3 linked regions of the Nothobranchius furzeri genome follow. The protein of the gene in region 3 purifies or fractionates together with the protein of the main gene of each other region. This does not show direct contact. Links are inferred from orthologs where the notes say so. Each region holds a gene or a part of one and is shown on either strand. Other genes may lie near its edges.

The links.
Region 1: the proteins of pagr1 (region 3) and kmt2cb purify together in Homo sapiens (affinity purification with mass spectrometry; 3 studies listed by BioGRID and IntAct, with this or other methods). This does not show direct contact. The link is inferred for Nothobranchius furzeri from reciprocal best matches to the Homo sapiens genes PAGR1 and KMT2C.
Region 2: the proteins of pagr1 (region 3) and ncoa6 purify together in Homo sapiens (affinity purification with mass spectrometry; 3 studies listed by BioGRID and IntAct, with this or other methods). This does not show direct contact. The link is inferred for Nothobranchius furzeri from reciprocal best matches to the Homo sapiens genes PAGR1 and NCOA6.

Annotation. Positions count from the first base shown.
Region 1 is NC_091751.1:52,876,131-52,879,780, forward strand, and holds part of kmt2cb (histone-lysine N-methyltransferase 2C), read right to left. Parts: intron 3,523-3,650; coding exon 3,209-3,522; intron 3,123-3,208; coding exon 1,543-3,122; intron 1,461-1,542; coding exon 1,352-1,460; intron 1,223-1,351; coding exon 1,153-1,222; intron 1,073-1,152; coding exon 1,012-1,072; intron 903-1,011; coding exon 670-902; intron 304-669; coding exon 1-303. UniProt on the Homo sapiens protein: Histone methyltransferase that catalyzes methyl group transfer from S-adenosyl-L-methionine to the epsilon-amino group of 'Lys-4' of histone H3 (H3K4).
Region 2 is NC_091755.1:60,755,467-60,759,116, reverse strand, and holds part of ncoa6 (nuclear receptor coactivator 6), read right to left. Parts: coding exon 3,555-3,650; intron 3,452-3,554; coding exon 3,333-3,451; intron 3,232-3,332; coding exon 2,837-3,231; intron 2,683-2,836; coding exon 2,437-2,682; intron 2,314-2,436; coding exon 1-2,313. UniProt on the Homo sapiens protein: Nuclear receptor coactivator that directly binds nuclear receptors and stimulates the transcriptional activities in a hormone-dependent fashion. Coactivates expression in an agonist- and AF2-dependent manner.
Region 3 is NC_091756.1:34,661,645-34,666,021, forward strand, and holds pagr1 (PAXIP1-associated glutamate-rich protein 1), read right to left. Parts: upstream 2,898-4,377; 5' UTR 2,750-2,897; intron 2,545-2,749; 5' UTR 2,514-2,544; coding exon 2,342-2,513; intron 1,460-2,341; coding exon 1,126-1,459; intron 1,041-1,125; coding exon 952-1,040; intron 873-951; coding exon 637-872; 3' UTR 520-636; downstream 1-519. Other genes in the region: kinesin-like protein KIF22, read left to right, coding at 3,639-3,826, 3,902-4,029, 4,106-4,257. UniProt on the Homo sapiens protein: Its association with the histone methyltransferase MLL2/MLL3 complex is suggesting a role in epigenetic transcriptional activation. However, in association with PAXIP1/PTIP is proposed to function at least in part independently of the MLL2/MLL3 complex.

The sequences.
Region 1 (3,650 bases), on a different chromosome or scaffold from region 3:
AACAGGGACCTGAGGAGGCATTATGGGAGACATTCCTGGTCCACCCAAAGGCATGGCAGGCCCAGGATGCCAGCCTGGAGGGGCATTGGGCATACGTGGAGGCGCGTTAGGCTGGCCAGGGTGAAGCGGAATCTGCATCATGGCATTCGTGGGCGGCTGTACCATCGGTGGTCCACTGGGCATCATGCCAGGAGTAGCCGTTACTGGGTGCATCCCCGGCATTAACGGTGTCATATTGTTCTGCTGCTGCTTTACTCTGTATTCCTCAATAAGCTCAGCATGCTCCTTCTGCTGCTTGCGGATCTAAAATGAGAAAAAAAGAAAAACGATTTCTACAAAGAGTGAATTTCAATGGATTTCTATCAGACACTGAGGAAGCTAGCTATAGCTGAGACTTAATGCTTAGGGTGAATTTCAACGACACCGCTTGCATCCATAATTTTCATATGCAGAGATATGGGAAAAAAAAAGATGCTAAAATAAAACGTCTCCAAAATAAAGACATTTTTTTTTAAATCAGAGAAGAGTGAACTGAGTTTTTGTTATTTTAAAATCCTCGTCTTGGCTTCTTTAACAATTAAATTTTTACTCATAGGAAATGAAAAAACAAGAGAGTATTTAGAGTTTAGGGCAGCCAGTGTGCACATGCCTGACAGGCTATGCACTCACCTGCTCCAGTTGTTTCTGCACTACACCCTGCTGCTCTGTGACATGTTTGAGCTGCTCAGCATCCTCCTCAGGGAACTCTCTGCCTGCCTTCTTAGCCGTTCTCTGCTTGGCAGACAGGGCTTTCTTAGACTTCCTGTGAGCGCCGATCTGCTCCTCCAGAAACTTCTGCTGCATTTGAAGTAGCTGCTGAGTCTTCTGGAGCCACTCCTCATACTGAGCCCTCTGAGGATTATCTAAGAGAAGAGAAGGGATGTTTTCTTAGCAACCTTGAGAGCATAAAAACCAACATATTTAGAGTTGCAGCCATAACTAATCTTGCAAGAGAATCTTTGAAGAACTTACTGACAAATCCTGGTCCAAAGCTGGGAGGGTTTGGCCTTGGTACTTGTGTTAATTTTCCATCCTGGTAATAAGAAATTGGTAAGGTGTTTTTCACATTTGTAACTGAAATATTTGACACATTTCTTTAGAAAAATTGATTACCGATCCAACAACTTGTGGAGGGAGCGGTGTGCTTTCAGGACAGGGTGGTGGTCCGGAACCAGGTGGAAACCTGTCAAAACATTTAGGAGACATTAATATTATAAAACGTCTAAATGCAAATAAACAACCCAACGCACTCTACAAACATTACATTTTTCTTTAGACTTAAAGTAATTATCTCAGTTGTAAACGTTCATACCTGTTCACCATCGAAGTCATTCCCATGTTGTTCTGAACCATGACTTTATTGATGCCTTTCAAGGCGACCATTTTAGCTTTCATGATGGGGTCAGTGATGGCATCAAAATCTGCAAAGACAAACAGTAAGATAACCAATCTGTATTCTGTCTTAAAAGGGTGACATGCATGACGACGGCCTGAAAGCCTCACCGATGTTGGAGAAAAAAGCATCGCTGGAACGCTGTCGTATCATAGCTTGCATCTGCCGCTGCTGCTGTTGCTCCCGTCTCTCCTGGTCTAGGAGGTCCTGAATTAGGAGTGGCTGCTCCTCCAGCAAAAGAGGACGCGGTTGGTTAAGCTGACCCGCGGCCTGGTTCAACCCTGCCAGCTGGGCTTGGCTCAGACCACTCTGGTCCACTCCTGGGGTCAGCCCCACTTGGTCGGCTCCAAAGGCAGTCATAGAAACATCACCCGAGTTGGTGTTTTCGCCTAGTGTTTGGCTCGCTGTAAGCACTGAGGTATGTGGTGTATCAGTAACTTGGTTCTGCTGGGCCATGAGGTTTCCTCCTTGACTGACAGGTCCGATGATTGGATTTAATGATGACTCCTCGGGCTGCTGCTTAATGAGTAAACTGGACAGGACTGGGGTGGAGTCAGAGAGCGCCCCCTGCTGGTTTGAGGCATTGTCAGAAGCTTGCTCCTCAACCTCTTCAGGTGGCCTCTGACAGTCTTTGACCTCTTTTTTAATTTCCTGGTTCAGTGGTAAAGAATCCGAGTTTTGAATCCCAGGGTCGTCCGGCTTGAGTTCAGCTGAATTTTGCTCACCTGAAGTTTCCGAGTTTGCAGACAAAGATGCAGAACTTGATGAATACTCACTTACCGTGTTTGGATGTCTGTTGAGGTCTGCAGCTTCAGCGTGATCATCCATTGGATCGCTAAGATCCAGCTCCTCATTAAACATGTCTTTTTTGATGTCATCTGAGTCGGGGTCTGTGTAAGCAATGATGTCAAATTTACCAGATTTCAGAAAGTCATCAAGGTGCAGGTCGTTGGTCTCTAGATCCAAGTCTTTGCCATCCTCAGGATCCAAATTTAGGTTTTCCAAGTCAGCATCTACAAGGTCTTTCACTTCCACATCTTCAAGGTCTTTGACAGCCGAGTCTTCTCCATCTAGCTTTTCTTCAATAGCTTCACTGGTTGCCACTGAGATGGCCTCGGTCTGCACAACAGAGGGAGCAGGGAGGATCATGGATGCTGCCATGTTCTGGATCTCATTTGAAGCAGGTTGGCTCATAGATCTCATCAATGGAGATTGTTTTATAGGGCTGATTCCTGGCATCTGGCTTTGTTGATGAAGATTGTCCATGCTAGCAGAGAGGTGTAAGTGGCCGGCCTGGCTACCATTAGGGTCGACCATTTTAAGCCCCTGATTTAACGAGAACCTGGGATCAGGTGGTCCAGAAAAGTCTGGAGGCCGTTGGCCCAGCAGGTTAGGGTCGATATTGTTTCCTTGCATGCTGCCGAGTGGAAACGGCATGCGCGGCCTGTTTTCTGGCGCTCGGTGTCGCAGCTCGATAAAATGCTGGCCCATTATGTTGTGTTGCTGCACCGGCATGCTGCGTGGTGGGAAGTTGTGGTGCAGCCCCATGGGGTTTCCTCCCATGCCTTTTGTCATTTCAGCAGTCAGGGGCAATCTCATCTGAGGAGGGACATTCTGCATCGTGTGCTCCCCTCTGTGAAAGAACTCTTGAGGCCCGTGAGGTCCTGGAACACCGGCCGTAAATGCAAACCTGAAACAAGATTGGGAATGACTTTAAACAGAGGAAACAGTAAAGATCTGTTCTATGAAATACAGTAAAGCAAAAGTGTCACAAACCGTGGTCCCTGATGCCTCAAATTAGGATCTCCAGGGTGTGGGGGCTGGTGGATTTGCCCCTCGTTAGAAAAACAGACACGCTGATCCACTGGAAAAGATCCAGGAAATCTCATCGGGCCTCTCATGGGGACTGGTCCGGGATAAGGTGGAGGAGGTCTGTTGAACATTTCGCCCTGTTGGCTGGGGCCGTCTTGGGGCCAGGGTCGTGGCGTTCCTGGGGCTGTGTTACCAGCAGGATCCTGAGGGCCCCTCTCCTGTCGGCTGGCAGTCCTCTGTAAATGTTGTTTGAGGATTAGCTCTTTAATTCTTTGCCGCTAGAACAGAAAGGAAGAGGGATTTTATACACACGTTTAATAGGCTATATAGTTTAACAAAAGCATAAATTATATTTAATGCTTAAATGTTTAAGTTCAAGTTTTTTCCACATATTTCTAAATAAAAA
Region 2 (3,650 bases), on a different chromosome or scaffold from region 3:
AGGTGGCTGAAAGGAAGAACTCAAAGGGTTTGGATGGGAAGGAGGCTGACAAACAGCGAGAGCAGATTTCTGAGAACTTGTCTCACCTACATTTTCTGTTTTGATATTTCCTTGGTTGATTTGTTGAGAAGCAATGAGAGTACCAACAGGGACTGAAGAAGACAAACTAGAAGCTATGTGAACCTGTCCAACAGCACTCTTCATGGAGTGAGCACTTGTCATAATGGCCCCTGATGGCTGTGTGGAGGTTGGAGCAGGAGAAAGTTGGATGTTTGCTGCTGGCGCCTGAATAGCACCCATCATGGTGACAGACTGGGATACCACAGTTGTATTGGGAGGGACTGAAGAACCTGTGACCTGAAAAATTGGATTGATCAGTACAGGGGTGGTTGTAATAAACTGAGCAGGTCTCGTGCCAGAACTCTGCTGTCGGGTGTCCTGAGGTCTGATGTTTTTGTTAGGGACGCCCATCATAGAGGTGGGCACCTGTGACGTGGTCGCGGATGTAATGGGGTTTGAGGTGACAAGCACTCTGAACTGGCTGGGAGAAAGGTTGCTTGATGATGCAGGAATCTGTATAATAGGATGAACATTTGTTAACGGTTTAGGACTAGGGCTTGGTTTAAGAGCTGAACTGATTGGATTTACAGAAGAGTTGGAGCTAGAACTGGTACTAATAGCAGAAACTGAACTGTTCTGACCAGATGAGACTGTATTGATGTTAAAACCTAGAGTGGCATTAGTGTTGGTGCTGACTGAGCTGCAAGGAGAAGGTGTTGAATGTAAGTTTGGATTTAAATTGACACAAGTAGTACTTAAGTTGACATTAGTCAGAGGGTGTGAGCTGGGGACTGGAAGAGGGTACAAAGTAGAACTGCTTGTAGAAATGGGTACAGCAGGTCTGAGTTTAGCTTCAGTTTCATTTACAGTAGCTGTGGTGACAACAGATGGCAGACTCTGTGAAGTACTGGAGACTGGTCTGTCTTGATCCAGAGAAGACTTAGAGGCGTCTTTTCCTATGGCAACAGTATTACTCAGCGTAGGCCCAAGTGCCATGTTCAATACACTCGTGTTATCCAGTAACTGGTTAAGTGATGTCGGAGCTTCTCTGAGAGCAGGTGAGACTTCAGTATTTTGTATAGAAGTCTGGTGAGTTGGACCCCGATCAACTGCACTCGCCTGTAGTTCTACATCAGGTTTAGGCTGCTGGGATGTCTGCAGACGATGACTTGTCATTCTGGAGGTCGATAAATCCCTGAATTGTTGTAACTGGGACTGAGGTTGGGGCGTTAGACGCTGCTCTGGGGTAATCATTCCCTGATTCTCCCTGACCCCATCAGCAGGATTACTGTGAATCCCATGGAGGGGGCTCTGAGTCTGTTGCATTTCCATTCCTCCACTAACTTGTGAAGGCATAGATACCGGACTCGGAGGTACCGAGGATGGGCTTAGCATCATTGTTTGCCCTTGAGGATTGACCAACTGCTGTTGGTGTGGAGGGCAATTTATTGTCATTTTGGCCCCCTTTTGTCTTCCAGGACTTGGAGTGGCTGACTTGCGACTAGAAGCTGGACTTGATCTACGGCTATTGCTAGGACTTGCCCTCTTACTTTGCCCCCCAGACTGTTTCTCTTGTTTAGCACCTAAAACTCCAACACCAGCTCCAGAAGCCTGCTGATTATTGGTGTTGTTTCCCCCTGCATTCCCATTGTTGTTGCTTGTTAGAGTTAACCCAGGAGGGGCTTGCCCAATGGCTTTCAGAGTTGTTGGGTTCAGACCTTGCTGGTCAAATCCTTTATTAAGGTTTGGCTGTCTTGGAGGAAGAGGAATGTTAATTTTGGGAGGAAACAGTCCAGCAATTGAAGCATTTAGCCTCTCAGGTGAAAGGTTAATTTCCGAGGGCTCAGTGCTGGGTGGACGATTAGATGGAGTGAGGGGATGGTGATATGGTCTGGGGCTGGCTCGGTTAGGGGTTTTAGGCCTTGAGCTCTGGGAGGTTGAAGGGACATTGGGGAAATGAAGGCCAGGCATGTGACCTCCTTGTTGAGGCTGAGTGGGTAATTGCTGCTGGGGACTAGCCCCAGTATGCTGGGGCATTTGTGTTTGACCAGAGCCTTGCTTCATCATAGGAGTGTTAGAACTCTGGCTGGACACAGCCTGTTGGATCCCATTTCCTGGCTGGGTCCCAATTTCCTGGGACCCACCAGGCCTGTCCTGTGTTGAGTGGGCCCCTGCTGGGCCCTCCTCGGGTCCAGTGCCTTGGGTGCTCTGCCCTACATCAGGATGGGACATTCTTCGTGCAGCACCTGCAAGCTGAAAAGGAGGAGAAAATATACATGCGCACAATAAGTATTGACTTTCAAAAGATAATAAATATTAGTGCATTTAGAAAATAATTTCTATCACGTAATTTTATTTTTTGTAATTTATCTCTACCTGTGGGTTAACCATCAGGGGAATCCCCCTTGCTTTGTCAGGTGATGGGGGTACACTTCCATGACCCTGAAGGCTGATCATTACAGGCATGTTGCTTTGCTGTGAAACAGGATGTCTTTGCATATCAGATGGATTGACCATGCCACGAGGAGGAAGCTGCCCTCCGGGAGGGATGGGCATGCGATTCTTTGACTGCTCTTGTTGAATTTTTAGCATCATCATCATTTGCTGCTGCTGTTGCTGCTGCTAGCACATGATGGAAAAAATATCAAGAATGGATTTAAAAGTTGTTGATGCCATGCCACCAAAACACACACACACACACACACACACACACACACACACACACACACACACACACACACACACACACACACACACACACATACACACAAAGTACCTGTTGTTGCAGGTGGGACTGCTGTGGTTGTTGCTGCTGTGGTTGTTGCAACTGATGAGGATGCATCTGTGGCTGACCTTGACCTGAAGTTGGTGGCCCTGTCATGGATTGCTGCCCTTGAGCATTGTGGAGTACCTGCATCATATGTTGCTGTTGCTGTATTTGGTGTTGTTGTAATTGTTGTTGTTGCTGCTGCTGTTGTTGTTGTTGTATATGCTGCTGTTGCATGTGGTGGATTTGTTGTTGCTGTTGATGCTGCATTTGCTGTTGTTGTATATGCTGTTGTTGCATGTGCTGCATCTGTTGTTGTTGTTGCTGCTGCTGCTGTTGTTGGTGAATGAATTGCATGGGTACTTGCTGCAGCACTCTTTGCTCCCCTGCCTGACCAGGAAAGCCTATTAAAGCACAATAATAGTAATATTAAGTTAACAATAATAATAACCATGACCATCAGCTTTGGTTTATACAGATGATGGAAAAATATTGTGTTATCTACCTGTTGGCCTGTTGGTAAAATCAGTGAGTTTCTGGCCTGAGTTTTCCGAACCCAAAGTCTGCTCCCCACCCAGGTTTGGCCCTTCAGAATCCTCCATGCCAGCAGCCCCTTCAAGACCACTAAGGAACAATACCACATATTAGGAAAAATTGATCAAAAAATGCTTTAACCACTGTGTTAAAAATCAAAAATATTAAAATCATAACATATCCAAAACATTACCCAGGTCCCTCTATTTGCTGTTGTCCATCACTCTCCTTGGGTTTCTTCTTTCTTGCTGGCTTCTTCTTTTTAGGTTTGGCCTGATTGTCCCCACCA
Region 3 (4,377 bases):
TCTCTATTAGAGTTTATTTTTAATATTTCTCTGTTAAATTCTTACTTATTGCACCTTTCTAGGGCCCACATTTATGGAAATTGGCTCCTTGCACCTTACCTTTTTATTCTGCTACTTCTACTTAGACCTTTTTGTTATTATTTACAGACACTTGATATTGACTTAAAAAATTGTCTTTCCTTTTTTTTAGGATATTTGACAAAATTTTTATTTAGTTTTAATTTTCGTAATTTTGTTTCTGTTAATTACAGTTGACTAATCTGTAATAGCTACATGCTTTTTTTTTAAATCACACCAAATACATGTTTGGGTCCCAGGAGCTTAAAGAAAACTGAGCACAGCTGCATTCAAGTTGGGGTTAGGGTTAGTTGATCACTAAGGAAGAACTTAGTCCTTTTCTGTTATTTAGATTCAGATTATGATTTGCCTTCTTATATGTACACCTTAACATGAAAACTGAGGTTCTAGATTTTAAACCCAACTTCTTTTTAATTAGTTATCATGACCCAGTTAACAGTGTTAAAAGTTAAAAGCTTTATTGCCATCATACAAAAAACATACAAAACGTGAACATTAGAAAATGAAAGTCTTGCGAGAGCCCTGAGAAGCTCTTGATTGCTTCTGGGACTGAATACTTCAGTATCTCCTCTGTCTCGGGGAGAAGATGGTGTCTGGGTTGCTGTCTCGCTCCCTCTCCTTCTCCCGCTCCTTCTGGCTGTTTGGGGAAAGGGCCTCCTCCACCTTCTTCTCGGTCTTGAATAGATCTCTGCCCGTGCGCCTGATTTGCTCCTCAATTTTGCGGTGGCGCTTCATGTCCGACAGCACTTTGTCCAGACGAGCTTCTCTCTTCACAGAGGAGCGAGCTGACGAGCCTGGAATGCAGGGAGGAAACAGTTTGGCTTTCCTCGCTGAACCCAGGAAATCAGGATATAAAAAAATAAATCATCAAACCTGGTGTTCTGCGTCTGTTTATGAAGGAGTTTTTAGGAGTTGAATGAAGTTGCTCCTCATCAAAGTCAAACTCTGTTGGAGACGGAGGCCTGGGGGTGGGGGGGTGGGGGGGGAGTGGTAAATCAAATTTATCCAAATAACAGAAGATAAGAAAAAGAAAGGAGAGCTACTGACTTGCATTCCCTTTCCAGCCTCTCCCTTTCCTTTGCTGCCTCCTCCTCTTCGTCTCTCTCGGGTGAAGGGGTGCGTTCAGGTGTGGGAGGCCTTCTAGGAAGGGGCACAAAGTTCAATTCCAGCATCTCCCCTTTAGCGAGGATATCATAAAGTCTTTTGATCTCAGGAGGAGCAGGCATCCAGTTTTTGGGGTCCTCCATTTCCTCGTCGCTGTAGGGAAGCTCCCACTCGTCGTCTGCTCCGGCAGCCAGCTTCCCCTCTTCAGCATCCCCTCCTGCTTCCCCCTGAGGTTCATTCTCTTGTGTCCCTCCTTCCACCACCTCTGTGTTCTCATCTGAGAAGACAGAAAAGTACACAAATGTATTTTTTGACACAATGTAATAAGAAGTTATTTATGTTTGTCTTATTTTATGTTGCAAGCACTCTCATTTTGTTCTTCTTTACTAATGAAGTACACTTCTGCATCTTCCAAAGCCTGTGTAATATGTTGGTATTTAAAAAAGACACTTTGATGCCCACTTACTTCCTGCTTGGATATCTGGACATGTTTTATTCATGAGACTGACTCAGAAGAAATTAGTTTATTTAGCTGGTGTCTGTGTTTTAACAACTAAATGTTACAAAACACGAGTTTAATTATTTTCCTATTCATGGTGTCCTAGATTAATTCTACTGTGGTAAATTCAGATACTTAAACCCTCATAAGTTTTATTGGTCACTCCTTCACCTGCTGGTGTAATCCTGTATCTGCACTTGTCTTAAAATGTGAACTCTAGCTATTTTAAGCATCACATGATTGCTCTGCTATTACGAGTTATGGTTTTGAGTATTTATTTCAAAAGTTCGTTCGTTCAAAACATAGAAGTAAGGAGAATTTGAGTAAAGTGAACACAGATCATTTTACAAGGTCTGGTGTGTCAAGTGTGTTTGTGGCATCATTTGACTTTTTTTGGTGTATTTTTTTTATAACTGCAAATGATAAATACAAGTGTGTCCTAACTGAAGAAGTAATCTAGTTAAATACTTGGGAATTAAATATTGACCAAAAACACAATATTTCTGATTATTATTCACAATTGAGCAGCCCTATTCTTTATGTGGCTTGTTATTTACTGATACAGCCTTTGAGTGATTGCTTTTGGCCACATCTGGTGCTAATCAGACGGATTTCTGACTCCAAGAGTTTACAAAGTTATTTATCCTTTAAGGGAGTTACCTGTGTCATCCTTTGCAGTGGTGTCTTTCTCCTCTGTGACAGCTGTCATCTCTGAGTCCTGTTGCTTCTCTAGGCCGCCTTCCTCCTGGTCTGCAGCAGATTTCTCTGGATCATTCACACCTAGAGCCTCAACACCCTCTCTAAGAGAAGAGTTGGTGACTTCAGTCTGCATCCTACCTGCTGCTGGACAACTTTAATAGGATCTGCGAAACAGCAGCATGTTTGATAATAATTAGCAATGGGAGATAATGGCAGTTATTATTTACACGGGTAACGAGTCAAGTTACGCCTGTTACTAAAGCGTAATAAGCAATTTGAGAATATTTAGGTTTATTTGTTTTATTCCTACTGGGCTAGCTAACGTCAAACCGCACCGCAGAAATAAAGGAAATCCTTCATTGTTATTACCGATTTGTCGTGAGTCAGCGTTGGTCACGTTAAAATTTGATTTTAAAGTAATTCCCAAGTGATGGGATCATCATAGCTCTCCATGAGGCTAGCTAAGTGCATTAAAAGATTCAACATGGACATAAACATAGCGCCATTTTGGCTGAATAGGTTGCTTGACGATGTTGTCGCGTTTAACCGGGCTCCAAATCCCGCTGATTTAAATGCGTATGGCTAAGTCATTCCAGGGCTTCTACTGTCTAAAATGTGAAAGGAGATGAAGTGGAAATCTACGCTAAACGTAACTTCCTGTTAGCTGTGCCGTGGCTAAACGACTCGTATTGTTTGGAGGGGAAAAGTAAAACCTCTTTAATTTAACTTTTACTCAATATACTAGTTTTTAAAATATACTATTAAATACAACAAAACTACAATTATGTTTTATGAATTATTTAGCGCTTAATGAGATCGCTGAAAGGCGCCAGCGTTCACGCGAGCTCTGATTGGTTAAAACCCATTTCCGGTCTCAGTCTTTTCGTTTAAAATTTTTTCAGTTAGAAGTTTTGGCCCATCGCCATTGTTAAAAGGAGAAGCTGGGAATGTTTGGACGATAAAAACGCGTTTTTTGGAAGACGTTTTTAACGGTAAGCTTTCCCCAATAAACTTAAAAAAGCGGAGTGGCAGATTTCGAGGAAACATTAGTTTGGAAACAACATTACCTCCTTTCGTGTGTTTGCTTCTCGTGACGCAATGATGAAAACCTAGAGCTTACCTTCAAATACTCCATTTATGCTCTGTTCATGCATTTACTGGTGTGTATTATACTAAATATTCGCGTGGCATAGAGTTTGATAAAGTGGATGAACATCACTCTGGCTTTTTCGTTATCCAGGCCTTTGTTTGTGTGAAGATGGCGCAGCGTGTGTTGGTAGCAGATGGTGGAAACAAGAAGACCTCCCGGGTTCGGGTAGCGGTTCGTCTGCGGCCTTACATGAGCAAACAAGATGATAAACACGAGGGTCCGTGTGTCAGAGGCCTGGACTCCCAGAACCTGGAGATAGTCAACTGGAGGAATGCAACAGAAACTGTGAAATACCAGTCAGTATCACTCTCCCAAGTGTCCTCCTCTCCTCACGACATTTGACTCTAAACATGGTTTGGTTTTTGTTCCAGCTTCGATGTTTTCCACGGAGAGGACACAACACAGGAAGAGGTTTTCCTCTCATCAGTGAAGTCGATTCTACCAAATATACTGAAAGGACAAAACGCCAGCGTGTTTGCTTATGGGCCAACAGGAGCTGGTGTGTTCTGGTGCCATTGTCACTGGAATAAGTGTGTTTTTCTTCCTAACATTAACCTGCATGGCTTCATTCACAGGTAAGACTCACACCATGTTGGGAAGTCCAGAGCAGCCTGGCGTGATCCCTCTAGCTGTTGAGGAGGTCTTTAATCTGGTCCGAGCCACGGATCAGGATGAAGGATGGGACTACAGCGTAGGAATGTCATATTTGGAAATTTATAATGAAAAGGTTTGTTTGTCCCGGTTACATCATTACTGTATGCACAGTGGTCTCCAGTCTCCTCAGGTTGGGAATCACTGTACAGATGAAGCTCAAAATATTAGAATATGATGCAAAAGCAGATTAAAG